Alligator mississippiensis: one gene and its partner. The main gene of each other region encodes a partner of the protein of the gene in region 2 in a complex. Links are inferred from orthologs where the notes say so. Each region holds a gene or a part of one and is shown on either strand. Other genes may lie near its edges. The genes, in order: SEMA7A and PLXNC1.

What was found.
Region 1: the proteins of PLXNC1 (region 2) and SEMA7A are in contact, whole or in part, in a crystal structure (PDB 3NVQ), measured with the Homo sapiens proteins. The link is inferred for Alligator mississippiensis from reciprocal best matches to the Homo sapiens genes PLXNC1 and SEMA7A. Residues at the interface, in NP_005752.1 of Homo sapiens: Arg131, Thr151, Glu152, Val153, Asn195, Pro196, Ala197, Ala198, Ser199, Asp200, His201, Thr203, Ala206, Lys208, Arg213, Ser214, Leu215, Ala216, Thr217, Gln218, Glu219, Leu220, Arg222, Lys224, Glu272, Ala350, Ser352, His353; in NP_003603.1 of Homo sapiens: Gln194, Tyr196, Asn197, Gly198, Lys199, Arg202, Arg204, Tyr213, Ser215, Asp216, Thr217, Gln270, Gly271, Gly272, Glu273, Ser274, Ser275, Leu276, Val278, Ser279, Lys280, Pro372, Thr375, Glu376, Phe378, Gln379, Asp382, Arg383.

The regions. Positions count from the first base shown.
Region 1 is NC_081834.1:41,939,507-41,955,541, reverse strand, and holds the start of SEMA7A (semaphorin-7A), read right to left. Parts: upstream 6,636-16,035; 5' UTR 6,575-6,635; coding exon 6,463-6,574; intron 1-6,462. UniProt on the Homo sapiens protein: Plays an important role in integrin-mediated signaling and functions both in regulating cell migration and immune responses.
Region 2 is NC_081827.1:88,308,653-88,324,540, reverse strand, and holds the start of PLXNC1 (plexin-C1), read right to left. Parts: upstream 8,661-15,888; 5' UTR 8,577-8,660; coding exon 7,641-8,576; intron 1-7,640.

The DNA of each region.
Region 1 (16,035 bases), on a different chromosome or scaffold from region 2:
TGGGCAAACAGAGGAGCACAGCAGTCTATTGCAGAAAAAAGCAGCCTTCAGCACTGGGAACATGACTCAGGCTCCTGGCTCTGGCTGCCCTCTGTTTTCACATTGCTTGCCAGCCACATCGGTCAGCCCCAGGAGGATGGATACACGCCCTGCAAACCCATGGTGCCCTTGCTTTGTGGAGCCAGGCCAAGCACTTCTGAGCACAAGGAGATGGAGCGGGAGATCTGTACCACAGGGAACACAGGCCAAGAAACAGCAGCTAAATTGGCAGAGACCATCTGCTGCTGGTGTGGAAATGTGGGTTTCTTCAATCTCTGCTGTTTAACCCCTCAGACACCAAGCCCTGCCAACCTCATGTGGGTCGAGAGTTGCACAGAGCTCTCCTGAGCAGAGGCAGCTACGAATCACATAGGTGATCCCCCATGGAGCCTACAAAAAGGAGACGTTGGAGTAGGACAGAGACCTGGAGGCCGATACCTGCTATTAATGGATCAGTCTGGAAGAGCCCTTCGGTGGCTGTGGAGCCTACTCCATCCCACACCCATGTCTGGACCATCTTTGAGTGTCTCAGCTCATGTCTCCTGCTGCAGCTATTTTAAAGGGGCTGGTGTTGTATTTGTAGAGCAGACATCAGTAGTATCTAGGCATGTTGGTCAATAAAGCCAACCATCATCACCAACAATTCCAGCACCCTGCTACTTAGCCTAGGTGGGTCACCAGCTGATGGGGGTCATAAACCTGCCAGGAGAAGACACTCATGGGAGCCATCCCATGATGCTCAACTGGGAGAGAGGTCTTGGCTAGAGAGGTGCAAAGCCCTCCACTAGTCTCTCCATGGAAGAGGCTAGAATCACTGCTGTAATGCATCTAGACTAGCCCTCCACAGCTAGCTATTTTCCCAACTGGATCAGGTGGAAGAGGGTGACCTCTGGTCAGGTCTTCCAGCCCCACATCTCTCCTTCGCTTTTCGTTGATCCATCTCTAAAATACTCAATGGGCATGGTAGTCATGAGGCACTGAGAACCAAACACCATGTCCAAGATGCAGCCACACCCCTGCTCCATGGACAAGGTGCCATCATCTCCCAGCTCCATGAAACAGCCCTGCACACGCAGCCCCACATAGCATTCAACGCTCTCCGTCTCTGAAGCCAGAATCAGAATGTAAACCTGTGACTGATCCGATGAGCCAAGGCTCAGCGCAGGATCTGAATGTACCTTTTGCAAAGCGAAGCCCAGCTGGCCAGTGTTTAAGTTCTAAAATGTGCCAAAAGGCAGGGGGATATTAAAAGGAACATAATGTACCAGCTTGGAAACACTTCCTTCTACACTGGCAGAGGGTGAGACTGCTGAAATCTCTGTCCAGTGATGGGTTACGGTGTCTGCAACAGACCTTCGCATCTTCCTTCACTAGGACAACGGGAGGTTCAATGCACCCAGAAGAGACCCATTGGCCTCCTTTGTCTATTCTCCTGACAATGGTTAATGCCAAATGTTTGGAGGGAGATGTGGAGCCCTAATCATTAGAAGCGAGTCTGAGCTTCACCATCCAAAGCAAAATCTGAGCTCCCTCCACATTTGGAGGGATACTCAGATCCCGGGCTTGGCTCAAATGCCTTTGATCCCACAACTGAGGAGGACAAAGCTTAGCAGACAGCTGGGTTTCAAGTTGCTGTTCACCAACTACATACCAGGCTATGGGCTGTGGTGGCTTCTGTAGTAGACAGGGAGAACACTAAGGGGCATCAAAAACCATTTGAAGAGCCCCAGACAACCCCCAGGCATGACAGACCAGGTCTTTACTTGCACATACCCAGCCAGGCCATGTTATGCCCTGACAGGTTGGCATTGCTTCTTAGCTCCAGCTGGCACTCAGCTCATCCAAAATGGTATCAGAACCAGGACGCAATTTTCAGCCAGATTTCAGGCTGACATCCAGGCTGCTCCATTTCAGGCAGTTTCACAACCATCTGCTTTCCATATTGGATGAAATGGCCAGTTTTCGTCCTCTCAGAAATCATGCCATTCTTGGAATCCCAAAGCCAACTCCAGCTGGGAATGGACTCCTTCTCTTTCTTAAACAGGATCATTGCTTTGAGGCAGTCCACCCCATTGACTTCCAGCCACATCAGTCAGGGACTGTATAATAAAGGCAGAATTACAGCCCCACCCAAGACCTTTTTATTTGGACTGGATTTATCAATACGCAGGTCAGAAGAAGATCAAATCACTCAGAACGCTTAGTCCCAACCAACAGCATGACCATCAAAAATCAGGGCCCCAACATCATGAGACTGAGATCTCATGATACAGCAAACAGGGAACGCTGTGTTATGGCCAGAACTCGTGAGCTATATACTACTGAGCTGCATTCCAATCTCATTTTCAGGCTATCTGCTGAAACTATGACAGCTCAAAACTTTTCTGAATGAAAGCCAGCCAAGAGCCTCACCTAACTAGTTTCCTGGGAATAAAGAAATCCTCACTGTACTTGCAAGAAGAAATGCGAGTCAACTGCACCAGACCTCCCTTAGCTGGCAAGGAGGGGCAGAGAAACTCTCCCCCTAGCTAACATGAAACTGTACTGCTTTTCTCGTACCACCCTATGTCTCCTATGTGATGGGCAGGCAGCCTGGGTGGTACCAGCACCTCTCTGCACTGGAGCATTTAAACTGTGCCTCTGTGCCCTGCTCTAATGACACTCAGAAGCAGGCTGCTGTCGGGGGGCGGGGGGTGTCTTGGATTCTTAATTAAGGGATTTTTGTATGGATATAGCTGGCCAATGGATCTGCTCATCTAAGTGCGAGCTGGAAAACTAGATGGAAGCTTTCTGGACTCTCTTCTCAGTCCTTCCTGGGTCACTGCAGGGCTCTCCAGCCAGCCTGACCCCAGCACAAAGGATGGAGTCAAACAGGACAGCTGTCAGGCTCAACTCCAGCCTCACAAGAGGTCAAAGTGAGGTATCCTGGAGCCCCATACCAGGGTGGGTTTAAGGCCTTAGAGACAAGCGGTTATTCCTGCCAGGTTTCCAAAGCCAGCGTCCCCCCTTGAGAATGCATGTCAAACAAAGCCTCCCATTCTCTGCACTGGGACTCCCAAGTTCCCTATATATTTGGGGGAGAAGCTCTGGGCAGAAGCACACTCCTGTGCTTCTGGAGTCAATGGATCCTTTGCACTCCTTACCCTGTCAGACTCCCTCCCTTCCTCTGCAGCATCAGTCCCAGGCATGCCACACTGGATTAAAAACCTTGTGCCTCCTCCTAGCACCTTCCCTTAAAGCTCTGTGCAGGTCACCCAGCAGTAACAGCCAGGATGCAGAGCTCAAAGCCAGAAGGGACAGATGCCACGGTCTAGCCTTACCCACCGCATAGCCTGAAAGACCAACCAAGATTTATCTGAACTAGAGCACCTCTTCTAGACAAGCAACCACTCTTGATTTTAAACAAATTGCCAGGTATAGATGCTCTACCACAATCATTAGGCAAATTGTCCCTGTGATTAATGATCCTCCCTGTTCTAGGGCTGTAGGATGATCTCACAAGAGGAAAGATTTAATCAATGGGAGAAAGTCTGGGGGTGGAAAAGGTAAAGAAGGAAGGATCTGATACTGGGGGACTATAAACACTGACAGTGTCTTTGCGAAGGACGGGATTCAGCATACAACACGAGGTGTTCCCTTACTGATCCCTCTGGAGACAGCATCACTATCACTAATATCAGGGGCACTGTAGATGATGGGACCAGGAAATCAGCCTAACTCCCTGAAGTCAACAGAGCAACTCCGGTTTATATCCCGACACAACCTGGACAGCTCCCACATCTAACCAGAGCCATATTGGAGGACACTAGAGCCGTCTTCCTATAGATACAGCTCCCTTTCTGTACTGTGGCAGCTCTACTAAATCAGTACTGGGGAAAGGAACAACCAGAAGCCTAGAGCCCTCTCCCTAGAGCAGGGGAGAAGAGCAGCTGCAGGGAAAGTTTCTCCCAGCCCTGCCCTCCATGTGCAAATGGCATTAGGAGCACAGCTCACTGCTGGCAAGATCTGGGGTTGCTGCAGCTCCGGCAGAGAGTTTCACCCTTCATCTCCAGAGCCAGAAAGTCCTTGGGTAGCTTTGTCCCCATGCTGGCAGTGAAGTCAGGGATACAGGTATTAGGTAGGGATGAACCCTACCAGGCATTTCCCCCAAACAGAAGCCAGATCCTGCCCCAAACTACTTATCACCTAAATAGCTGCAATGCAGCCAGGAGAGAGACAATCAACCACTACAGTTGCTTTGCTCCCCTTGACCTCCTTTTCCTCAGGCATCCAGGCTACCCCTGCAAAGGCTTTGCTATGAAAGAGGACAGGCAGCAAGACTTGCACAGCCCATCAGTGCTATCTTTAATTAGGCCATATCATTGGATCCCCAGCTGTTCAGTGAATGCTGACCCCAAGGATTTCAATAGGCAGCTAGACCCAACTGTATTACTTTAAGGGCTGCATGAAATGCCCCGTTTCTAACAGAAACGGAACAAAACCCCGGCGCAGCTTGTTAGTAAAAGTATAAAGGGAAAGTGCGGGGGGAGGGGGGATGCATTTTAAGATAGTACTAGATACATTTATTAATAGGACTAGATAATGGGATTGAGCCCAGCCCTTTGCCAACACACCCCACAATCCAAGAGATCTCTCCCTGTCCTGTATCTATTGTACTGAAGATTGACCTCAGCATGTCTGTTTGCCATAAAGCCTCTTATCACTCATTAGTGAAGACGATCACAGGAGACTGCATTTGGTGCCAGGAAGCCAGGCTTACTGCACAGATATATTAAACAAGCAGTTAAATAACCCTATCACAAGTACATATAGGGAGCAAGAAGCAGGTGTCAGAAACCTGATCACTTCAGGCTGCTCTTTCCACTGCAAGGATTCCTGCTTGAGAAGGGTTTTTTGCTGCTTAGATCCCTTTAACAGGAACATCACTCACTCATTTGTCTCTAGAGAAACTACATTTCCCAGACAGGAACTGTTTTTCCCCTCTCCTCTATGTATAAGGCTTTCTCCCTCCCCCATTAAGGTTTGCATAATTTGATAGACAAAGGCATGATGCTAATGGCACCTTCTCCCAGATCCCCAGTGCTGAATGACTTCATCTCCCATGCCAATATAACAGGCCACAATCCCCCCCCCCCCCCAGCCTATCCTCCCCCCACCCCATGTTCCCAATACTCTGTTTACAGCTCCTTCTAAGCAGCACTAATTACAAAGAGCATGTGGCTGAAGAATAAACAGATGGTCCCTAATGAACCAGACCATCAAGCAGGGTGCAAACATACCCTTCACTCAACAAAGAGCCAGGAGGTTGTATCACAAAGGCACAAGAGCTTTCCACTTTCAGCACAGCCCCTGCTAAAACAACAGAAACACTGCAGTGCTTCCTAGGAGCACCCTCCTCTGACATTGATAGATGAGCTTGAAAGATGCTTTAATCTTTTTCTTTGCATGCACTGGTATAACCTGCTCTAACAAACAAGGCATTTGCTTCCACTTTGTTCAGTTTATATTCCCATCTCCTTGTTACACTGGCAATGCACCACTCACCTTGGTTTTATTTTTTTTCTCCACAGGAAGAGATCTAAACTAAGCATTTACAAGGACAAATTGATACATAGACAGCAGACACAATCGTTCAGCTGAATAGGAAACTAATCACTCTATAAAACATAATTATTAATAACAACAACTGCAGCCTCTTTTGTATCAGTGTGACAAGAACAGTTAATCTTCAGGAACTGATCTTATTGGCAGTCCTAAGTATATTATTTTATGTGGAAATGGACCAAAAGACAAAGGTCTCATTAAGAAAGCGAGTGATCAGCACTAGAAAATAAAGGTGGGGGAAATCAAAGGGATTAAATTGCGTGGGAATCACAAAAGCTCATAAAACATAAAGATCTCATTAAGAAAGTGAATGATCACCTCTAGAAAAAAAGGGGGAAATCAAAGGGATTAAATTAAATGGGGGGGTGGAAATCACAAAACTCATAAAATAAAAAGGTCTCATTAAGTTGAGGCTGGTTCTGCTTTGAGCAGGGGGGTAGATTAGATGACCTTCTGAGGTCCTCTCTAACCCTCATTTTCTATGATTTTAAGAAAGTGAATGATCATCTCTAGAAAGTAGAAGGAGGGAAAAAAAATCAGAGGGATTAAATCTATATTAGGAGAGGGAAAAAAACCAAAATCACAAAGCTCGTAAGATAGAAGACAGGCTGGCTCCTTTCCATAGGGCTGTCTTTCTGGAAGAGCTAGAGCCAAATTAAGACCAAGTCCACTATAACGGTTTTGCATGGAAATAACATCCAGATGTGTGCAGTGCTCAGAATGCAGAGCTTTGCTCTTTACTTCTCTTGCAAATCACACTGTCTGCTTGTACATTTCTAGGTTCACAATAGTCACAGACAAATGCTTTTTGACACTTACCTTGAAAAGGGACAATGAGTCTAGGGTTCACCCTGGAGTGCCCAGCTGCCAGGAGCCAGAGGTAGCTGGTCCACAGGGTGAAAGCAAAGACTGCTGGAGAGCTGGCACCCATCTCTGGCACTCAGAGAAGCAGAACACAGAAGAAGCCCTTTGCTAGGCTTGCGCTAGTGTACAGTATTTGAATAAGTGAAGGGTGGGGCTGAGAGGAGGAGGAGCAATTTAAGGCACTCCTTAGAGAGTACTGGAGAATCAGATATAGCCCTGGGAACCGGTACTGATGAGAAATAGGGAGTAGCTACTGCCTCACTGCAGATTCAGTGGCCAGAGCCAGGTGAACAATGGACTCTCAACCCCAGCTGCAGACATGAGAGATCTGCTGTAACTGAGACACAAAAAAGGACATTTCTCAGTGCTTTGGGACACCTGACAGCCCTGTGCCTGCTTCTCCAGGACCATGGATCCCAGGCATTTAAAACTCAGGTGTATGTTTAGGTAGATGTGATATCTTTTATTAGAGCAACTAAATAGTTGGGAAAACTGTTTTCTGCAAGCTTTGGACACAAACACACGGTTGATTGTGTCCAAAAGGGTATTTGTGTCCAAAAGCTTGCAAAGAACAATTTTTTCCAGCTGTTTAGTTGATCTAATAAAAAATATTGTATCTACCCAAAGAACCTTATTTGCCCATGTCCTCAGACCAACATGGCTACAACCAACAATGCTGGAGTATGTTTAGGGTTCTCTTTCTTTGCCCTATAGCCCTTGAAGGTATGTCAAACTTTTCTGAAGGTGAACACTAGAAAGTGTTCCTAATGAAAGCTAAGGATCTGATACATTTGCATGACTTTGGGGTCTGGCCCTTTAAGAAAAAGCTCCAAATTTGGTAAGATTTGCAATTAAATTGCAAATTAAAATTTAAAATTAAAATCAAATTAATTGAAAATTAAAATTGGTGATGCTTTATGTGGGGGAGGCAGAAGTTACTGGGCTGGGGCTCAGAGATCCTGGGTTCTACTCCTGCCTTGGTCACTTCACTTCTCCATGCCTCAGCTTGCCTAGTCTGGAAAATGGGGGCAGTGATGTCAATCTTTTTTATAAAAGGCTTGGTGATGGACTCACTGTGAGAGCTAGGTACTGTTGTCTAGGTCAGTGGTTCTCAACCGTTTTTTGTACCAGGACCCATTTGTGAACACTGATGGCCAGTCCTGACCCACTGCCCCCAGGCCCCAGCCCCCCAGTGTGTGTGGGGTGGGGGGTTGTGTGTGGGGGCAAACAGCCCCTTACAGACTGTAACTCTGCCAGTTTGCAGGCAGAAAGCCAAAGGTTCCTGTGTCTTTGTCCTTTAAAAGGGGAATTCATTTTTAAAGTTTGATCCATTTTTAAAGTTTGTTGACCCCTTCATTCTTGCAACCTGTTTTTGGGTCGTGATCCACGGGTTGAGAAATGCTGATCTGGGCAAAGTATGGTTGATACTGAATGGAAGATGAGACTCCCCACTGGAAATGTAATATTGAAACTGTAATGAAGAACACCCTGCTTATGTGAACTAGTGAAAGTTAACACCTGCAGTAAATGGAAAACCAAGGTCAACTGAAGTCTGAACATTAAGCCCCCAAAAGACTTCTTTGCAAGCTGTTCCCATCTCTTTTTCTACAAATAACATGTTAGGTAATTACATTTTAAGGGATGCAAAGGCCCTCCCTTTTCCACTTTCAGACGACATTCTTCCATTTCAACCTTAAATGATTATGCTGCTGTTACATTCCACTCCAGAAGTAGCTGCATTTCTAGACCAAGTTCACAGATTTCCAGATATCCTTTTAAAGCCATTTGCAGAAGAAAGGACCCAGTTGAGGACCTGTAAATATAATTCATTAAGCCCCTTTTACACAGCCAAAGCAGCACAAAAGGACTGATTTTACATGTGAATCTGGACCGTATTTCAACAGCATGAAACATGAACATCATTTCCCAGTCCTGCACAATAACCAGAAGCTAAATTTTTGCTTGCACCTAAAACTTTCAGTTTTGCAAACCTGGAAGTTGCACGTGTTCATACTTCTGTTCTTAAGCACTATAATTCTGGTTTTGCCTTGTACTTACTTCTTTTGCCCCTGCTAAATGGGCAGAAGCAATTGGTGACGGACAGGGGGGACAAGGCTGAACTCCTCAATGAGTTCTTTGCCTCAGTGTTCCTAAGTGAGGGGCAAGACAAGTCTCTCACTGGGGTTGTAGAGAGGCAGCAGCAGGGCGCCAGACTATCATGCGTAGACCCTGAGATGGTGCAGAGTCACTTGGAAGAACTGGATGCGTTTAAGTCGGCAGGCCCGGATGAGCTCCATCCGAGGGTTCTGAAGGCACTGGCCGACATCATTGCAGAGCCACTGGCAGGAAAATTTGAACGCTCGTGGCATACGGGCCAAGTCCCGGAGGACTGGAAAAGGGCCAATGTGGTCCCCATTTTCAAGAAGAGGAGGAAGGAGGACCCGGGCAACTATAGGCCAGTCAGTCTCACCACCATCCTTGGCAAAGTCTTTGAAAAAATTATCAAGGCTCACATTTGCGAGAGCCTGGCAGGACAAATTATGCTGAGGGGAAACCAGCATGGGTTTGTGGCAGGCAGATCGTGCCTGACCAATCTAGTTTCTTTTTATGACCAGGTTACGAAACACCTGGACACAGGAGGAGGGGTGGATGTCGTATACTTAGACTTCAGGAAGGCCTTTGATATGGTATCCCATCCCATACTGGTGAACAAGCTAAGAGGCTGTGACTTGGATGACTACACAGTCCGGTGGGTGGCGAATTGGCTGGAGGGTCGCACCCAGGGAGTCGTGGTGGATGGGTCGGCTTCGACCTGGAAGGGTGTGGGGAGTGGGGTCCCGCAGGGCTCGGTCCTTGGACCGATACTCTTTAATGTCTTCATCAGCGACTTGGACAAGGGAGTGAAATGTACTCTGTCCAAGTTTACAGATGACACAAAGCTATGGGGAGAAGTGGACACGCCAGAGGGCAGGGAACAGCTGCAAGCAGACCTGGACAGGTTGGACAAGTGGGCAGAAAACAACAGAATGCAGTTCAACAAGAAGAAATGCAAAGTGCTACACCTAGGGAGGAAAAATGTCCAGCACACCTACTGCCTAGGGAATGACCTGCTGGGTGGCACGGAAGTGGAAAGGGATCTTGGAGTCCTAGTGGACTCCAAGATGAACATGAGTCGGCAGTGTGACGAAGCCATCAAAAAAGCCAATGGCACTTTATCGTGCATCAGCAGATGCATGACGAATAGGTCCAAGGTGATACTTCCCCTCTATCGGACGCTGGTCAGACCGCAGTTGGAGTACTGCGTGCAATTCTGGGCGCCGCAATTCAAGAGGGATGCGGATAACCTGGAGAGGGTCCAGAGAAGGGCCACTCGTATGGTTAAGGGCCTGCAGACCAAGCCCTACGAGGAGAGACTAAAGAAACTGGACCTTTTCAGCCTCCGCAAGAGAAGGTTGAGAGGCGACCTTGGGGCTGCCTATAAGTTCATCACGGGGGCACAGAAGGGAATTGTTGAGTATTTATTCACCAAGGCGCCCCCGGGGGTTACAAGAAATAATGGCCACAAGCTAGCAGAGAGCAGATTTAGGTTGGACATTAGGAAGAACTTCTTCACAGTTCGAGTGGCCAAGGTCTGGAATGGGCTCCCAAGGGAGGTGGTGCTCTCCCCTACCCTGGGGGTCTTCAAGAGGAGGTTAGATAAGCATCTAGCTGGGGTCATCTAGACCCAGAACTCTTTCCTGCCTATGCAGGGGGTCGGACTCGATGATCTATTGAGGTCCGTTCCGACCCTAACATCTATGAATCTATTACCTAAGCCATCCATTACTTTCACTGCATTGCAAAAGTCAGACTCACCTGATTGACCATGAAAATGTATCAATAAACAGGAAAATGTCTTAGAAAATTTGTGCTAATATTAGCCTGTTGGACCAATAAAGGAAAGTCATACACCGGAACAAATAATTTTGGAAGAGCAATGGGATTACATTTAAGCTAATAGTCTAATAGGTGGATTAAGTGAGCAATCAAGGAGAAATCATTAAAGACCCATGAGCAGCCAGTAAGGGGGTAACTCCTCATTTACCTGATGTAATTGGTAATTTGCTCCAGAGCTCCACAGTCTAAAGAAATCTACCAACTTGTAGCTGGAGAATTTTTAGGATGCAGGATGAACTAGGATTCTCCTCTTGTTGGTAATAAAAATAACAGCAATCTGCTCTTCCCTGACTTAGATGCATCTGAGCATTTAATACCCAGGTATTCTTATCTTAGCACTGAGTAGGTGGTTGTGGTCAGTGATATCCAGCTTTACATTCTATAGATGTTTGAGAGTGTTCAGATCAAGGGGTTTTAATCCAAGACCATCTCTAGTCACACACACACACACATATTTTATTTTTATAAACACACACACATATACATACAACATGGAGGTATAGCCTTGCCCTCCAACAAGTCACTGTGAAATTGCTTCTTTGGAAGGCTCTCATTTCCAGGTCATTGTATAGATTTACGTAGCTCTCTTCTAAGTGGAGGGATGTGGGTTTATAAATCCAGAAGCAAGAGTTCAAGTTGTGACATAAAAGCCATTCTCCCTTCAACCAAGCTATAAAGTGGGCACCTAGACTGGGATGTCATGGTCAGACAGAATGGTTAGCACCAGAAACTGGTGTACCTTAACCACACTAGCCCAGTACGTAGCTTACATCCGTCCTTTTCTTTCTTCTGAATGCCTGAATGGACCATTTCAAGTTCCACACCATTGAGTATTGGCTCAATGCTGCTTAATTTGGGGTCCGTATAACTTACCAAACTATTTTACCCTAATTTTGTTCTCTGTTTGCAAGAGCCTTTGTCTACCTGTTGATTATATTTCACTTGGCTGCTTGTAAGAAAAGAAACTAATAAAAGGGAAACAACAAAGGTTGCAGGAAGCAACTTAGATATATTTTGGGAAAACTTTGTTCAGACATCTCTAAATCTGCTATTTTTATCTTGGCCTTTGCAAGACGCACACAACTCATGATAATGCATGACGATGACATTTCAACTACACTACAAGGAAACAGTCTACAGAGGGAAATTATTCTGTGGACATTTAAGAAAATGAAACTTTAACTCGAGGGCTCAAATCCAGGGCAGCTGGTTCAGATTTTAGAATTTAATGAAGCAGAAGGGTTTTGCTCATGTGTTTTGGTTCCCTTTATTGTAATGCAATTAAACAGGCCAGAGGAGAGGAGGGGGAATTCTCAGATGCAAATGATCATTGCTTCTGAAAATCTCGTCTGTCCTGTTTCTCCTCAGTGGAGGTGTTTTTTTCTTCTGGGTGATAAATCCCTCATTCAGCACTCCAGATCTGTGCATGGACTTATGAGCAGACCTATCTCCTGTCCCTGATCTGCCTGCCTATGTTCAACGAGAGAGGGTCAGAATATTACCCTGGGGTGTTGGTTGTAGCCGTTTTGGTCTAAGGACACAGGCAGGCAAGGTTCTTTGGGTAAATCTGATATCTTTTATTAAACCAACTCTGTTACTTAGGCAAAAATCCCTGCTGAGAGCAATTTTCCTGTGGCTAGTGTCCCCTGCTGGTTGCACAGTGAAATAGCTTTTATCATGGAGCTCACAAAGGTGAGTTATCAGAGACAGGGAGCTCATCCCATGGTCCTATAGCAGGGTACTGAAGGCCTAATGCAGGAGAGAATGAAGTTTGATGGGCCTTTAACTACAGATTTCAGGTTAGGCACAAGCTTATGTGCTTTGCTAACTCTGGGCCAGAAGCAGCATTTGCTTCAAGGTGCATGTAAGGGAAGTCTTCCCTATGAGTTCAATGGAGAAAGCCCTAAGGCAGTGTGAGCCAACCTTTCTGACAGGTGTGGCACAACATAAACCCTGCACCCTCCCTGCGTGCAATTCTGATCCCCTTCCTCGGCCTGATCTGTTGCTCTGCTTTCTGCTCCCTGCTCCTAAACCATGTGTAACACACAGAGGCTGCCTGTGCCACTTGTGGACACCTGCCACAGGTTGGCCACCCCTGTCAGAAAGGAGTAAGTAACTGCAGCCAGGAGGAACAAGAAACTTAAAACAGCCAGTAGCAACAGCAGCTGAGATGCTACTGAGTTGCCCTTTGGAGGCCCATGTTTCCAGCTGTACAAATAGACCTGATCTCTGCTCCTGCTCTTACTGTGCTAGGCCACATTACAAAACCCAAGGCTTCACCCAAGGATAAAACTTGGCATCTCATGGTTTGGAAACCACACCTATCAGCCAAGTTGCTGGGTGGTGAGGTGGAAGTCCTATATTGAAGTCCCATACAATGTTCTGCCTTCAGACTGATCCTAAGGACTACAGTTCCTTTCCTTGAGAGATGCCAAAGCACTTTACAGCACTGAAAAGCCAGTTTCCATTAAAAGCTGGGTTTTGGCCCTATCACCAATATCTATCCATGGTTTTTATTAGCCTCAGAATTAGTAGGTTAGAGGCTGGGCCAACGCACAGCTATTCCATCCTAATGGGATGTGAATTGGAAAAGGGGTCCCCGATTTATGACAATGGTCTCTTGTAACCAGAGACATCAATATAATATTGAGCCCTACAGGGTTGACAACTGGGGACCAGATCAGCTTGTGGGCTGTCCCAAGACAAGCAAATGTAGAGTTGGTTTGCACTCACCTTTCCCCAGCTATGCAGAGCTTGGGCAGATCACGGGACTTTGTGCTAAATCACCATCCTGCTGTGATGGTCACAGCTCAGCTGTCAAAAAAAATCATGGAACTAATGCAATGCTCACACCGAGCAGAGCAACCTGCTCTTTCCAAACTGTTTTTTCTCACGAGGTGCCCGAAACCAGATAAGCCAGGTGCTTGAGTTCCCCCTGCATTATCAAAGCAGAAATACAGGAACTGAGACATGCTGAAGATACCAGACACTCAAATGGCCATTCATCAATTGACTCTTGGCCTTTCCCTTAAAAAAACCCTACAGCTTCACATGTTGGTTTCATGCAAGTATGACATGCTATGTTGATTAAATCCATGCAGTCTGGCAGTAACGTAATGATGAGTGAGCAAGGATGGCATGGGCCTGAGGCATTAAGGAGTGGGGGGGCCATAATAGAGACAGGAGGGTACCTCATCCTATTCTCCCTCCTCCCATACACACAGACCCTGCACCTTTCCTGCAGTAGCGCTGGATGCAGGTAGAACAGAGCAGCAGCAGCCGCACATTGAGATGTCACCTCCTTTTCTTTGCTGCTCAACATGCGCTGGTGGCAAAAAAATGGAAGTGACCACTGGAAAAATGAAGTCTCCACACAGCACTGAAACCTCTGCCGATCGCTCCTGCACCGTGCGCTGCTGCTGCCCCACAGTGCGGTACTGGGCCACTTATGCCTTTGTAGTCCAGCCTGAGTTCCAACATTCGCAGGCAAAATCAGGACTTCCCCAAACTTCCCTAATGGCAGACATCAAAGAATCACTATGTGTGGATTGTTTTTAACATATAATGCTTATTTTCATTTAATCACCAAAACCCCCATCCTAGCTGCACTGGAAGTGATCAAAAACTAAACACGCTAACGATGATAAACCAGAGCATCTCGGCTGGCAGCCTCCAGCTGCCCTTTTCCAAATTAATTAGAGAGAAAGCTAGCACAGGCTGGAACATCAGTTGCAAGAATGAATTCCAATGAATGAATTTGTTTTGTCTCCAGCAGACATTGCTGTGTGAAGATTACAAAGGACCAGGCGTCTGATGTTTTAATTATACCTCATCCAAAGTAACACAGGAAAGCCCCTTTTCAAAGTAAATGAATTAAATGCGTTAGTTTTAGACTAGGTAAATCACTACTGCCCAGCTCTTTTATTACAGGTTAAAGCCATGTAGATTCATGGACTATAAATAGCTTTATTTTTGAAAATCACAGGGAGGGACATCAATAGCTGTACTATCCTTCCCCCACACAAGCCTACCAAGTGTGTCCTGGTCTCAAATTGTGTCCCATATTCAGGTCAAAGCAGCTTGAGAAGAATATCAGGGGAAATTTTCTCCCATGGCAAACAAAAGTGGCAGCATGCCCTTCTTCTGCAGCTGAGTGTTGGGTGGCAGGAGGGTGGCATGTCCTGTGTGATAAATGTCCTCTCATAGAAGGGGGTGGGCAACATTGGCACTTGGTTCTTGTCATATTCTAATTAGATTGCAACAAAGGGGAGTATATGTGTATCTGTGTAAGGGGTGTAAGAATCAGACCTGCCCAATGGTAGGCGTCTTAAAGCTTGGTATTACCAATAAATGGAGATCGTCCAGTGGTCCCAGTGGCAGGATATGTGCTTTGGGATGGATGCGTATTGAGAAGTCCCACCAACCTGTAAGCTGCATAACACTGCCAACTGGCTGTATCTGTCTCTGTTGCTTGAGACCGCACCACTTGTCAGGAATCCATGAGATTGTCTTCTTGATACTTCGCATTGTTCTTATCATTCATTTGGTCAAAAAACAGCACTTGTTAACAGATCAGGAAAGATCTCTTTCCTGGGAAAGGCCCCCATAGTTATCACTGGGATTTCCTCCCCTAGGGCCTTTGCCCTGCCAGTGGGGGAGAACATAAAAGCAACAGGCTTGTAGAAACTGAAGGGAGAAAGGCAAAGTTAAACCTTTATCAGAGCTGACGCTCAATATTGTTTCTGATGGTGCCAACAGAAAGACATTCGAATTCCCCAAGAGATTAATATGACTGAAGGGAAACGGAGCATATAGATTAATCCTGGACTTCACACCTCATGGGGGCAAAAGGGGAGATATTTAATGGCTTGTAAAACAGAAGGCCTGGAGGATTTCTGAGAACAAGAGATTCTGCTGCACCATGTTTATGTATGAATGCACTTCTGGAGTGAGCGCACCAACCGCATCCGCGGTGCTGATTGCCATAGTGTGTGAACTCCATGCACTCTTTATGCATTTATCCTGGCAGCAGTCCCATGTGGGAGTGGGGCAGGCTGTTCTACTCATTGAGCAGATGGGAAACAACACACCCCAGCACTCAAGGGCTGGATCCACAAAAGGACTTCAGTGCCTGATGTGGATTTAGGCACCCAACCCCCTCCCCAAAGCTGCTGCTCAAGACTGGAGGTACCCAAACCACATAGGCTACATGCTTTTGGTCTGCCAGGTTTCCCCAGGTGAATACAATGATTATCTGTGCGGTCATTTTTATATCCTGATTTCTATGAAACGCGGAAGGGTGGGAGACATTGTCCTCATCATGGCTGGATCTAGCCGCAAAATGTCATGCAATACCGAGAATTTCTCCCTGTGACTGGAAAATATGTACATTTTAACACAGAGAGCTTGGAGGCAGGGAAAGAGATGTGAAGGTTCCTGTTAAAACTAGTCACTTCCCTGTCGTTCATGAAGAGGAAAAAATAGGACAGTGGTCCCAGAGATTTACAACACAGAGTTGTCAGTATATATACTGGCTCTAACTCACTACCTCAGAGCAGACCCTCACTAGATGTGGGGATCAATTGGGGTTTG
Region 2 (15,888 bases):
TGATTAGAAAACAGAAATAACTCGAGGTCAAAGCCTATAACCCAGGTCTCCCAACTCTCAGCAGAGTGCCCTAAAACTAGAGTACAGAGTCATACTTCCTGTTGCTTACACTCCTGGTCCCACCACTGCTGCATTCCTGTCTGCCCAATACTCAACTTCGACAGGAAACATGAGACTACTCCCCACCCAGATTGTTCTATATCCTGGTGTTTGGGGCATTCTCCGGGGATGTGGGAAAAGTGGCTCTCAATCCCACCATGCTATACTGGCCTAGAATCCAAGTCTCCACCCCCCTGAGTGAATGCTGTAGCAACTAAATTCACACACAACTGTTTGGTGGCAGTGGCACTTCCACCAACCATTCTTTCGAGCTAAAGTAACTGTGGCAACTGAGCTCTGTGCCAAACAGTGCTGTTGGTGTGAAGTAAGTATGCTCAAAGGATGTCTAATGGCTGTCTTTTGGGGAACACAGGCAGTTTAGCTACTGCCCCACTACCATTCTAGATGACAAATGAGTTTTGCTAGGAGTTAGGCTCCTAGGGCTCTTACACATATGCAGAGAGACTGCTCCAATGCGCTGGAAATCCTGTGCATCACAGTAGACTCGACTGAGTCTACTGGAGCGCACAAATTGATGAGCTCTGGCAGCCTCATGCATCATGTGTATCAGCGGCACAGTACATCTCCATGCTGAGAAAATGGCAGTAGGGCGCTTTGAAATAAAACACGTTCAATGTGCTTTAGTTCCAAGCACCCCACTGCCATTTTCTCAGCGTGGGGATGTGCTGCGCTACCGATGCACGTGACACGCAGACACTTTTAATTAGTGCAGCTCAATAATTAAAAGCACCTGGTGTCGCATTGAGATCACGTGTAAAAATGCCCCTAGGTGCCCAGATTAGATCACTTTTGTGTATATGCCTAGGGAACTTTGCAATCCAAAATGTAGGTGCCTCCTGAGTTTTGAGGCTGCTGGAGTGGGGTCATTCTGGAACAGTGTTTGGAATGTAGGTGCATTAGGAGATTCTCTTTATATCAGACAAACAATATGTAATCTATTATTAGCTGTAATATATAATATATGCCATAATATATAACTGAACTATAATACAGTCCAGAGATGCTAGTCAAGAACGAAATCTCTCCTGTGCTCAGTGCTGTAGAACCACCTGGTAAGAGACATTCTTTCCCCCAATTTCTTACAAGCTAAACAGCTTGCAGGTCCAGTGCTTACTTGCAGGTGGATTCCTGATGTGAATGGAGTCTTATCACAAATCTAACTAGAGCCATTGGAATACTTGGGAACATCTTGGTCAGGCAAAGAAAGGGTAAATGGAAGCAGTAAGACCCAATCATACAGAAAAGTTAAGTGACCTCCCATGTTCTCACACCAAACCTGTGACACAGCTAGCAACTGAGCTCAGATCTCCTGGGTCCAAGTCCAATGATTTACCACGAAACTATCTGCCTACAAAAGAAGAGGTTTTTCCCTACAACTTAAATTAACTCTTGGTTAAAATATCTTTCTGTAATTTAAATGATTTATTTTTAATTAACTCAGAAGGCACATTTTGTGGGAAAAACTTGGTATTTAAACAAAGAGATATCTGTATATAAAAGGAAAAAAGGAGACAGTCATGTACTAGTATAGAACTGAAATAAATCAATTTAGGCATGAGACTTCTGTACTGTGGAAGTCTGCTTTAGATAATTATAATCACATGGTTTCCTTATCTTAAGAAAAAAAGTGAATTGACCTTTCCTTTTTCAGTACATCACAAGATTACAAGCTTCAACAGTTGGGATGTGTAGTGAGTTTTGGTTAAAGCTGAGAACTGAGGAAGTCATGATCTGCTTTAAGATTTGATTTCCATGACCACCATCATTTTTTCAGAGTGCATGCAATGCAGGGAAACCAAGTTATTCTAGGTGCCTTGCAGAAGTTATTTAGACCCTGGAATTAAATAACCCAACCACTAGGAAACACTATGGTAACTGTAAGTGACTTTAGATCAACCTCTCCGACTGACCCAAGAAGCAACACCAACAAGTTTGACAGTACCAGCTCAGTTCTTCTGGTCAAAGGCGGCGTCAGAGCTACATCACTTTTGTGTAGCTAGAAAAAGGGGAAACTGATTAGCTAGGCCATCAAAACAATCAACCAAAAAATGCTCAGAACTCTTTTGCAATCTATTTTCTAACTTGCCCACTCTTCAGGATGTAGCAGCTGCTACTCCTTTCATCGTTCCCACCCTTTTTAATCACACGCATTTATATTTTAACCATCTCTTTTACTCATCTACTGTGACTAATGGGGTTACAGCACTGCAGGACCTTCCCAGGCCTCTTCTGTCTTAACCAAAATGTGTTTTGATTCATTTACAGTCTAAGCTTCCTTTATATGGTAGTGGTCACTCTTTCTTTTCTTGTCCCTCTATCCTGTCCAACATAGCAGCTCATTGTAGTTCTTCAATCCCATGCTGCTCAAGCTTCTCTACTTCCAACCCCCCCCCAAACCCCCTCCCCACAACCTAGATGTCTCCTGAATTAATTTTGACCCTGCATTTCCATCATTTCTCCCTCAAACATATTCTATTTGTGATTTCTTCCCCTAGGAATCCAGCTGCTGTTGCTTAATTTATGCCTTTATTTTCTGCCTTGATTTCATTTAAATACTTTTTGATATAACCTCCTGGAGGTCAGGACTGTTTTTCCCTTTTTGTGTGGCAAACTTATTGCAGCAGATCATTAAGTACAGATATGGAATCAGATCCTTAGAAGGTGTAAGAAGCAACAGCTCCACTAACTTTCATTGCAGCAGTATTTATTTACAGCTACCAAGAACCTGGCCAATTATTCTACATTTCTTTTACTGCTCTGCAGTCAAACAAGGTCAACATCATGTTCTCAATGTAAACTAGCATCAAGTAGGCAACAGATTCCCTTTCCTTGAATATAATTCATTCCCTCAAAATAATTAACTAGTAAACATTTCCACTTAGAATTAGCTCCAGGTAAATCAGAGAATTAAGTTTGTTGTCCTAAGCTAAACATATTCTAATTATCCCCATGAAAATTTCAAAGCTGGACTGTAAAAAAAAATCTGTCTAAAACATTACCCATAGTTCCCCTCATAGTACAGTAGGAAATGAAGCAATCCAGCCAGGACTTACAAGAAATTAATAGCAAAGGACAGTATTTGGGCAATGACATGACTGGTTTTTTACTGAGTTAAGAACTTGGAATTTGCCTTTCCTTCTAACTTAACTATCCCCACCCATCTGCTGCATGATTTCAAGGAAGTTAATCCTTGCTTCCACAGTTCTTTAATACTCTCTCAAAAGTTTCAGGCAAAAACACCTGGTCAAGCCAGATGGCTCAGAGCTACTCTTTTGTTGAAAACTGATTATTTGAGAGCTTACAGGACTCCCGTGGCTTAATTCCCACACCAATAGAGACATACTGAGAAATCATCACAGCTAGGGACAATGTTGGTAATTTCCTATAGCAATGTCAAGTTAAATATATTGGCTATGGAAGCCTATTCTTCTGTCAAACAGCAGATGTAACACTGTCAGTCTGGTAATCTACAAAGGATAACTAGGCTACTAAAAAATTCATTACAGGTACAATCCTGACTCCAAATGGCTTTTCAACAACTTAAAAATCTTTCCTTGAAAACAAAAGACTTTGACTCCTAACAGACAAGCTATCACACAAGTGAAAATGTCATACCTGGAAGTTAAAAAAAACAGATTCTCCATTCACGGTAATGGGTGCTGCTCTACCAATTCCAACACTGACTTCAACAGACCCGTGCCAATTTATAGTAGCTAAGAATTTCACTCAACGTTCCCAATTATGTCTCAAATTCAGGGGCAGGCACTACACATCACCAACACATTCATTTCCAAAGAACATACGGGCAAAAGTATTGAGAAGCCTACAGTTATATGGGCAGAAGCCTACAGTTATAACTCTGTGGCTGTATTAAACAGACAGCAATCTAATAAGGGCTTTTCTCATTCAGTATTTACTACAAACAATGAGACAGTAATATTTCATGCTACCTTTAAACCCAATACTAACACCACAACACAAATTATGTTTGGCAAGTGCTGCAATGCTGCACCAGGCAGCACATGCACACAAGACTAGGTCTGGCAAGGTGCTGAGAAATTTGGCCTCACTCCAGTAAAGCACTAACATCCATGCTTAACTTTCAATACAGAAGTAATTTCTTTGAAGTGAATGGAACTGCTACTGCCCATAAAGTTAAGAATTGGCTTAAACTCTTTGCTGGATAGCACACTGAGCAAGATGGATCCTTTGCACGTTAATCAGAACCACAGCACCTTTGCTGTGATTAACAGCAATCAGGTGCTGGCAACAATCAGCAAATGAAAACAGCAATGTGTATATGGACAAAAAAGATTCATATCCAAGGCAGGCAGAGAGAGCTGCAGCATGAGACTACTATATGTTCTTTCTGAAGGCTGAATTTACACCAAAAAAGCAAACTCAGACCCTGCATCAGGGTGGATAAAAATCTATGATTTAAAAAAAAAAAAGATTTTTTATTTAAAATCAGTTTTATTTAATCATACTTTTTATTTTTAAGAGGCTTTCTTTAAAAAAAAACCCACATAAATATCGTTTTAATTTAAAATATGTTAAAGCTCAAAGATATCATGATGGAATAGGGATTATAACTTCTAATTACAGTATATATTAGTTGAGACAATATATTCATGTAACCTTAAATAGGTCAAAACAGGCCATGGACTATATTAGGGGCTCAATCTCATGGAGTTCTCAGAGGCTCCTCTATAGATTACTAAAGATTCAAGAAACCACTCTACCCAATGGGACTCAGTGCTCAGTCTAGAAGATCCCATTAAGCATTTTCTATGATTTTCTCTCTGTGATGCTTAGTTTCAGTTCTCAGACTGGATTTGTCTCTCCAGAGATAACATTCCTGTTAAGAACAGCATATGCAGATAAGAGATAACAGACCTGATTACCTACCCATTGACCCTCTTGTCTCTCTGCAAGTTTGTGTACACAAAGTCAAGCCACTACCTTTCTCTGACAGTGCAAAGTTTCAAGAAGTTAAATGAATAAAGGATTTCAAACAACAAGAATGCATTTTTGTAGAAAACCATTATTAAATCGAGGCTTCCTGACCAGTGATTTAAATCATGATTTAAATTGATTTGATTGAAATCAAATCCATCCCACCCTGCATAAATATAATGTATTGTTGTGTCCTCATTAACACACCTGCACCATCTTACACCATCTCATTCAGAACATGAATAGTAAAGATCACCGGGACTTATAACATGCATATTTATGTATGAGAGCTTTCTGGCAGCCCTCTGTTCCAATGAGTCCCCAGAGTTAAAAGTTTTCTACACCTCCATTTCCAGGTAGTGATAGCAGTACAATATGTTTGTTTTGCCATGACTGTAGCCAGATATAAAGAGAGATTTTTAAAAGGGCTGGGGTGTAAGCTAAGTTTAAACTATCGCTGCCTGCTCCATTTCTACACATCTGTGATGCACCTGCTGATGTGTTGTGGCACATGGCTCTCCTTTATGACTGCTGCAAAGTTATTGAAATTCTACGTACGGACTGCCAGGTTATGCATTTCGTGTCTGCAGATTTTGAACCTTTTGCTTTTTTGACTCTCTCTCTCTGACTTGCTTTGGAAGCAATTTTTATACCCTTTCATAAATGGGTAAGAAAGGAATACCATTGGGATAAAATAAAATAACAGTAGTCAGGCAGGCATTATCCACCTAAGCTTAGCAGCCCATCAGGATAGTGTTGGATACAGCACACCGGTTTCAGTAGCCAATGGTACACAAAGGAATGAGGTGGCTAGCAATGACATTTGTGCACCCCTGACTCTCCTGCTCAAGCAACCAAATACCCATTTACTTCAGCTGGGTCAACTGAAACTAGCCTTTCACATGAATCCAAAGCACAGCTCCACTTCATACCTCTAGGGCAACACAATATTTTAATCACCGTAGGGGCACCCTTCTTAATACTAATAAAGAACAATTCTTATTTTTTTACAATACTGTATGGACGTGGATACAATTTAACACTGCTGCATTTTTGTAACACAATCACTGATATTGTTTAAATGAATCTCAGGGTCCTTTCCAAGTTATGGGCCTGGTATCTAAAGTCAAGCAGTGATGGTAACTCTACTTCTCAAGGAGTTCCAACCAACATAACAGCATTGGTCAGTGAAGGACGGGTTATAATGGAGAAAGGGCACAAAGGCTGCAGAATCCCTGGTGCTTGGAGGTTGCCAGGGCTCTCTTTCTGGAAGCCAGGTCCCCTGTGGCTGTCCCCATTACTTTCTCAGCCTTGTTCTATTAGCCACAGCCCTCAGGATATGCATGGAGAGAAGAAGGTCAGGGTTTCTGACATGAGGAGTGGCCTTGCAAAAACAGCATCTCATTCTGAATTAATTTTTCAGCTGATTTCCTCCGGTTGCCAGGAAACAGCAACCAGAAACTGCCACTCCTACCTTCCACTCCATGTGTGAATGCCTAACTGTTCAGAGGGTGGAGGCAATAGCGTTGCATGGGGACGGGGGAGGGGGCTGATTGGGGCTCTCCACAGGATAATTCAGGTATGCCTCAGGACAGCCACAAACAATACAACTATTCCCACAGCCAACACTTCAGTAGCCAGTGGTACACAAGGGAATGATGTATGCAAGGGAGCCCCAACAACCCTACCACCCTGCACTGTTGCTTTGTCTGTCTCAATCTGTTTGTGAGCCTATGCTGAAGCACAGAGGGACTAGCAGCAGATACAAGCTATCTCACGCGCATGGAAAGCATCAGGGAGAGAGCAGGAAGCCTGGCGCATCAAGTTTCTCTTTGGCATCACCAGAACACCTCTTAAGGCCCGTGCTCAAGGTTACATATCATTCTGCAACCAACTGGTCACCTACACAATAAACTGAAACTGCAAAGGAAAGATCACACCATGAACGGGTGAATGGTGCAATACATTCAGCCCGGCCATGTGTGCAAAGGAACGAATACCCACACAATAGAAGGGGCAAGCCCACAAAAAAAGAGCTGCAGTACAACTCTGCAGCTGGCTTCTTCCAGCTGTCAGGTAGGCAGCTCACTGCACCTCATAGAGTCATAGAGAAGTCGGGTTGGAAGGGACTCCAGAGGGCACCTAGTCCAACCCCCTGCCTGAGGCAGGGTCATTGCCATCCCAATCATCCCATAAAGCCATAATCTAAACTCTACACATGCCTACCCTCAACCCTAACACAACACAGACATTACACCTGGAGCAGCCACAGGTAAAGCAGGGGAACCATGAGAGCCAACGTCCTACTTCTATGAAATGTTGACCTCGACCCATCTGGCTTTAATACGAATGGATAGTGAGGCTGTTCTGCCCCATGTGGTGGGGCACACTTTATCCCCACTGCCTGTTGGCTGGTGCCTTACACTCACGCGCAGCCCTGCTGAAAGAGAAGCGGGGCAGAAGCCCCTCTCTTCACATGAAGGAGCGCTCGGTGGAGCCAGGCCTGAAGAGGCCAGCCTGGCTCAGCCCCCCGGAGCCCCGAAGGGAGCAAAGTGCAGACTCACGCAGCTGGTGGGGCTGAAGTCAGAAACACATTTCGGGCTGGCGTCCCGCAGGAACGCCAGGTCGAAGAGGCAGAGCGCAGTGTTGTCCCAGGCCGGTGCGGCCCAGGCCGGCCGCTCTGTTTGGTTGGCAAAGACGGCGGCCCAAAACCCTTGCTGCGGCAGGGTGCTGGAGGCCAGGATGTGGCTGCGGCAGCCGCAGCTCAGGCGCACCTGGCTAGGTGCCTGGAAATGCCGGCTGGTGTTGAGCACCACGACGCTAGGCGGCCCATGGGGCAGGCGGTAGTAGGGGAAGAAGAGGTGATCGTGCCACAAGAAGGCGTCCACAAAGTGCAGCGGCGTCTTGTTGTACTTGAGCGGGTCGAAGCTGTCCATGGGCATCAGGTTCCCCAGGTCGCGGATGGTGAGGACAATATTGGCCTGCGAGGTCACCAGGCCGCAGCTGAACTGCCCGTCCAGCGAGTAGACGGCGGCCACGGCCAGGTAGTCGCCCGACTTCTCGCCCCCCGGCCAATGGAAGACGACGCCGGCTGTGGAGCCGCGGGGCAGGCAGCTCACCACCTGGCTCTGGTTGCCCTCCACCTTGAGCCCGCGGAGCAGCTGGCAGCTACCGTGGTGCAGCGTCCAGCCCGCGAGCAGCCGGTCGGTGCCGTAGGGCAGCAGCAGCTTGCTGTGGGCGCCGGCAGGCTGCGCGCACTGCCCCGCCGGGCCCATGTGCAGCACGTCCCGCGCCCCGCGCAGCGCCGGCTCCAGCTCGTACAGGCAGCTGCCGCCCGCCGCCAGCACCGCGCCCGGCCGCACCGCCAGGCTCTCGATGTCGTGCGGCAGCGCCAAGCGCCCCGCCAGCAGCGAGCCCCCCGCCGCCGCCAGCGCCAGCAGTAGGGGCAGCGCCGGGGCCAGCGGGAGGCCGGCCGGCCACCCCCTCCCCGCCCGCCTCATGCGCTCGGCGGCTGCCGCCCCGCTCCGCGCGCCTGCCGCCGCCGCTGCCCCATGGCTGCGGGAGGGGCCGCGCTGCCTCCGCCGCGCCCGCCGCCTGCGGGCGGGGAGTTTCTCCCGCGGCGGGGCCGGCAGTGGGCCGGGCTCCCGCCACAGCCCGCTCGCTGCTGCCGCTGCCCGGGGAGCCCGAGAGAAGGCACCTGGGCGCAGCCTCGCCCCCCCTCCAGTACAACGTGACAGCGTTTCAGGGGCTGCTCTCCCCGTGGCGGGCTCGGGGCAGCTTGAGGTCGGCTGAGGCCCCTTCCGGCCCTGGGACTCACGGATGGACTCTATGATCAAGTGGCCCCGGGAGTGAGTGAATGGTTGCTGAGCCACAGTTTCCTCTGAGCTGCCTGTCACCTGCTTCTTTGATCACAGATCCCCAGCTTGCCCCGGCAGCATCTGTGGCAGGGGTGGGCAAAATGCTGCCCGAGGGCCGGATGTGGCCTGCCAGGCCATTCTATTCGCCCGCGGGGCCCCTAAAACATTTAGAAAATTAATACTGATCTGCCCTGAGCTTCCTGCCAAGCAGCCCTCTGCCCACAATAATTGCCCATCCCTGATCTGTGGGGTGCTTGCCCTCCATGCCCAAGTTGGGACTTGCACTGATGTTTGGCTGTGGCCTCCTACCCTTTGCCGCGATCAGCTTTGGGTGAGCCTGTCTATTCTGGGAGCTGCCAAATCCAGGCACTTGGCTAATTTTAGTGAAGTGTAGAATGTGAGAGGAGGAGGGCTGGCACAGACCGCCAGGGGTCATCTAATCCAACCCCCTGCCTGAGGCAGGATCATCCCTATCCAAATTGTCCTGTGCAACCCATCATCTAAACTCTACATAAGACTACCTTCAAGATAAAACTGAGCTCCAGCTGCTGGGGGCTGCAATAAAAACCCATAAGCTGAAGTCACATAGAATTTGGACCCTATACACTAACCAAAGTAGATTACATTTCTTTCGTTCTTTCTTCCATCTACTTTGGTAGTTATATATATCTGTAGCACAAAGCTTTGGTGAGCTGAAGCTCACTTCATCAGATGTCATGGAACCATAACAAAGACCATCTTCCAAACATGGGCTGAGGTTATCTCCAGGGTCTCTCCAGGTCAATCTTCTGGCCACTCTAAAGTTCCCTTCCTGATGTAAGGTGGCACTGAACACGGTATTCTGCATGCCCTGTCTCGACCTGGTCTGACATATTCTGTATGAGATTAAATTCTCTTTGGAGACGCCTACATTTTGGTGGTGAGGACAGCAACTCTTCTTTAGTCTTGCCATCTTTATGACAAGTCCCACTGGGATCTATAGGAATTGATATGTCATTGGGCAATGGGGTCTCAGCTAGGACCTATTTCTATAAGGTATTGAGCCTTCTCAACTTCCACTGCAATCATGGGTACAATTACGTCCTAGGCCTGGGTGTCTAGACCAATGGTTCCCAATCTTTGTTGGACCATGGCCCCACTGCCAAGCCCTGGACCTATCTTCCAATCACCTTGCAGCTGCAAATAACATCCCCCCCCCCCCCTTGCTTCCAATCCAATCTGCAGTAATTGAATTCTTCTTGGACTCTGAGTGGAGTCACCTCAAAATGATTCTCTTAGTCACTTCACTACTATCTCTCTGGTGATAACAGAAAAAGAAACCAGTTTTAATTCAGATCATCACACCATAAAAGGTTTTTTCAGCAAGTCTTCCATGGCGATATACTGCACCTCTATCAAAAAAGTTGCATTTCTTTGGTGTAGAACAAGCATGATGGCAGAATTTCTTGCTGTTCCTCCTGACGCACAAAAAGAAATCTAACTTCTCCAAACTATATGTTTGCATAAGCAAATGTGCAATTTCACTGAAATTAACTGTGCAGAAAGAGATAACTTGTTGAATATTTTTTTCTCCTGGGTCACTTCCAGTAGGGACTCAGCAAAAGCAGAACCATATTTTACATACTCAGCAAGCAGCAGATAATCTATTTTTGCTGAGTCCTAAATAAAATGTGACTATGCAAGGAAAAAAATCTTAATGTTTTCTCCTGATAGAGACTGGAATCTCCTAGTGGAGGCAGACATAGGGCTAACTTAAATAAGAAAGTGCATGTTTAGAGTTGAGGCACCAGTTATTCTAAAGGTCCTTTTCACAGCTAAATACCATATAGTAGCCTATATTTAAATGAGAATCATGCCCTATATTCACATACAAGAAGTGTAACATGCACAACAGATTTACATTTCTTTCCTCAAAGACCACATCCAGTAGCAGTTGCTACATGAGACACTTACTTTTGCCCTGGATCTGCAGGTTCAAGTAATCAGAGCCCCTGACATATTTCATTCCCACAGCCAGAACCCTCTATTTTTTATACTCCTTCATAGGCATTAACTGAAAGAGTACGTACAGATCCTAAAAAATGCAATGTAATGTGATGGAATTGTTATCGGGTATAGCTTGTCTTCACACTAGAGATGCAAAGCAAGCACGCTGCTTCTGGTGAAGTAGTAAAGATGTACTCTTGTACAGAACTAGGCTCTTAGTCAATATGTAAGCATTTTTTTTTGGCAAGCTGATTTTGCTGAAATACACTGCTTTTGCAGTGCGAACTTGGTTGAACACTTGACACTTAACACAACACTGACTTCGTATCCGCTTCTTGGTTTAGTTCAAGGTGTTAAGTTATGAAGCTGTTTGTAGTCTAGCTTTTGGCTTACTTGACCTCATGACATGAGGCCAACAGTGAACTTTACTAACTAATCCTAGTTTCACATCTCAGTGCACAGGTGGGAGGCTACATTCAGCAAACGGACAATATCTCTAAAAGCTGTTCTTCTGTGGATTTCTTAAAAGCTCAAGTGCATTGACTTGCAGGGTATGTCTCCAGTACCATAGCAAGGGAGGGGCAAGTGGGGCAACTGCCTCAGATGCCAAAGCAAAGGGGCACCAACAGGCACCAGCCAGGGCAGGGCACAGGACAGAGCTGCGAGAGGCTTGTTTGGGCGGGGCGCAGGGACATGGAGGGGTCAGCTCCCACCACTGCGTGCACCCCCAGGCAAGCATGGGGGGACGTGTGCCCCTTGGATCTGTGTGTGGGGCAAGGGTGGGCTGCTGCTATGGGCTTGCCCTGGGTGCCAAACTTCCTTGCTATGGCACTGTATGGCTCATTTATTTATTCCTCTTCTTGTCTAAAGTAGGCTACATTTCTTTTATCCAGAGGTTGTTTTGGACAACTGACAGATTGTTACAGTGAGCTTTTGCTCCTTACTGCAAGGTGCTGCCAAACTCAACTTCTGTTGAAGTTTTGGAAGTCTACAGCTATTGAGGGTGCTCAGGCCTCCCTCAAGAGAAATGGAGCTGGATTAAGCTCATGCTGAAATTGTGGAAAATGAAAATGAATGTACTGAACTAGTACTTTATATAACTAGGTGCTGTACTGTGCAAGTGATTGTAAAATATTTTTACTGGCATAAAAGTAATGAGAGGCAGGGCAACTGATGTATGTTTACAAAATAAATGTAAAATTACAGATATTTTTACTGCATTTACTTCTTTATCTGTACAATATAATATTTGTTCTTAAGACTATGGTTTCATCCAAAATACTACTTCATTTTCACTTTCCATATTCCTAAATCCTGTGGAGAAATCTGCCAAAGTAGAACCAGCCTGTTTTATGTTGCATGTTTGACATGTTGATGGCCATATCTTGAACTCTTTACTAAAGCATAATTCCCAGTGAAGTTAACAAATTATTGAGTTCCCATTTACTCCTGAAGTCTCCTCCTGTGAAATCTGAGAGCAAAATGTAACTCAGAGTTTTGCCTGAGTGAGAACTGAATTAGGACTCCAGGACTTGATCCTATGCATGTGAGATAAAGTGAAGTGAGACCTCTTCTTAGTTTCCAAATACTGATTCCAGATTCCATAAACTGTGTTCATTAGCAGAGGAACATATCTATTCACTTCAAGAGAAGTTAATGAAACACACCAAAGAGTGTCCCTTGATTATTTAAAGGAGTGGCTCCTGAACTTTTTGGACCAACCGGCCTTGTTTTGCAGCAAGACTAAGACCTCCTATTGCCTAATCAGTCTGTTTCCCCTACTGTAACTCCTTCATTGTCAAACAGAACACTTCTTGAGTTAACATTTTACACAGTAATGTCTCTCTATCCACAACTCAATAGCCTTCTTTCTCTCTTCCTTATTGTTCATTTGCATGCCAAATTTAGCAGAGTTTAGGATTTTATAGAGGAACTGCCCAAAACAGACACCACCAAATGTAGCTTAAGCTTGAGAACTCTACATTCACTTTAGAGTGCCCCTGCAACTGCTCCTGAAATTTTAGATTTGAATGTAGTAGTTGGTTGTTTCTGGGCTTTCTCCTTTTTTTCTATTTATCTACAGTAAGGAAATTCCAGGTATATATAGAGTCTTCTGTGACCTAAAAGAATAAATTCAACTATCACAAGCTATTTAGCACTTAACTATAAAAGTTCTCCAAATAATGCAACTGCGTAAAGGAGGTCAGTGCTCTAAAGTGAAGAGGATGCTACCACAAAGTCAAATATTTATGTACAGTAGATTTCTGTAGTTAACAACACTGCTGTGCATTGTTTGAGAAGAAAGAGGAAGGAAGGAAGGAACAAGTTTTCAGCCCATCTAAGTGACACTAACCATTCTGAAGGACTGACCAAAGAAATCATGAGCCCAAAGCATGTTTTCTTTAAGCATTTCATTTTTTTTCTTTCTTTAATGTAATTTCCTTATCAAAAGTTTTTGTGGTATAAAAAAGGAGGAGCAACTCGGAATTTCATGCAGAAAAGAAATAGCACTTTCCCCTCTGCTCCATGGAACTAAAATATGCTCCTCCTATTCTAAGTCACAAACTGACACTGAGAAAGAATGCACAAAACCTGAATTCTATTTCCAGCTCTGCTACAAGCGTGTGTGTGACCTTGGACAAGTCCCATAACTCAGTGTGTCTCCATTTGCCTTCTCTTTGAGTGGGGGATAACAATATTTTCTTGTGTGCAAAATATTATTGCAGAATAAGTAGAACTTGCTTCAAATGTTGAGTTTTTTATGAAGGAAAATGAGTTTGTACACTGTTCTGTACATGTCCTTTCACAGCTCAGGCTCACAAAGACTTATGCTTTATATCACTCTGACTTAGTTAGTCTACAACATGCAGTTCTACCCCCTCCTTTTAAGAGTGACCTGAACTGTTGCTCAAGCTCTGTCTATAGTCTTCACAATCATAACAACATTAATGGGATGTGTGAAATCAGAGAGGGGAATCTGACCCACTTGAAGTTTTGCTTGTATGAGAATTCAGTAAAGATTTCAGGACTTGAGCTTATATACATGAGTTAAAAAACAAAGGAAGATCTGTTCTTAGGTGATTTCACGTTGCTGCCTCAGTTGCCTCCTTTCTGTCTCCTTTTCTCTCCTTTGCATGCCAATGTCATCAATATTAGGCTAATCTTTAATAATGTAGGTTACTGGATGAGTTTTTCAAATGCAGCCCCTGCACAAGATTTTAGTAAGCTTTAACTCTATGAAAAATGTGAAAATCCTGTATTATTCCATTATTAAGATCCTTCATGACAAAGAAAGGTGTGATAATAAGTGCTAAAATTCTTTAAGAGCCCATTTTAAATTAATTTTAACTCTAACAGATTTACTTGTAAAAACTCCAAACACTCATTCAGTATTCAAGGTGAGAGCTGTAAATTGGAAAATAATATACTGTAACCTTCATCCCTAAAGAATAATGCCTACTTTAAAGTCCAGAATTTAAGTTTATCGATGGAATTGTTACTAACACTTGCATAATGGAATTCCACAGTAAGTGCCTCCATAATAAGAACAGGCTGCCTATGGAAAAATCAAAATCCCTGTTACTGTTCTTTTTTTCCTGTAATTTCCAAAAGTAGTTTCACTGTTCTACAAGCTCATGACCTTTGTAAGTATCCGTGGCCACTTATTTATAGTTCCAGCATTTAAGTGTCATACTTAATTGACCCACACTAATATTGCATAATTTGACACATTATATCATTTAGTAGTCAAATCAGATTCCAAATACTGTGTTCATTAGCAGAGGAACATATCTATTCACTTCAAGAGAAGTTAATGAAACACACCAAAGAGTGTCCCTTGATTATTTAAAGGAGTGGCTCCCAAACTTTTTGGACCAACCGGCCTTGTTTTGCAGCAAGACTGACCTCCTATTGCCCAATCAGTCTGTTTCCCCTACTGTAAACTGGCAGAATGACTTAACAGAAAAAAAGCTCACCGTCAGCAGGCTCTGTCTGGCAATACTTGATTTTATAAACAAGGCACAGAAACAAGCTAATAAAATCGGAAAGTAAATTGAAGACTCCTGGAGCCCTGTGTTCCCCCAAAGTGGAACATGATCGTCTCAAATAAATTATTTCCACTTAAACTTCCCAAGTGCCTTCCATAAAGGCTTTTCCTAAGCAGGTCTACACAGCCAAAGGCTGAACTGAGGTTAACTCCTCATATGCTATGCTGGATAGATTTTATCATATTGTGATTGAAGATCACACGTTTCCCTAACTTCACTTCCCCTTTTTTGTTTTTGTTTATGAAAAAAATTACAAGGAAACAGACTGTTAGGATCACACAGAATAGCCTAAACCTATAAGATATTAAGTTTTTGAAGAGTGGAGTCTAAAAATATTCTTTTCCCGTTAAGAAATTTCTAGTAATCATAGAAAAAGATGGAAAGATGAACACATGACATATGAGAAAAACAGCTTCTATATGGAACATTTTTTTGAAGTTTTCCAGGTAACAGTTGCCTTTTAATGCTCAGTTCTCTAAAATTACTCTCCACAAAGGCAGGACTTGGTAGTTTCTCTTTCCATTAGCTTTAATTAAAGTTTACTTAATTTAACCAGAGAAGTTTCAGTTGTGTTTTTAAAAGATTATGAAAATACAGTTTCTGTCAAGTGATCCTCTCAAAGTTCACCCACTGAGTTAATAAAAGACCCAAGATACTGAAGTTACTGCCTGAAATGATTTAAATGAATTATGTTTATTTTAATTTTTTATTTCATTCAACACCATGTGTTAATACTGCAGTCAACATTTCTTTATATGCTGTTTCAGCATTGTATCTGACGGAGGCAGGAGGTGTAACTAATTAAATGTTTTTCTTTTCCTTTAAAATAATGTTTTTTTCATAATGAAATGAATTCAATAAATGACCTGAATGAGACTGGCAACTGACACAGTGATTTACCAGGAAGCCTGTTTGGAAGA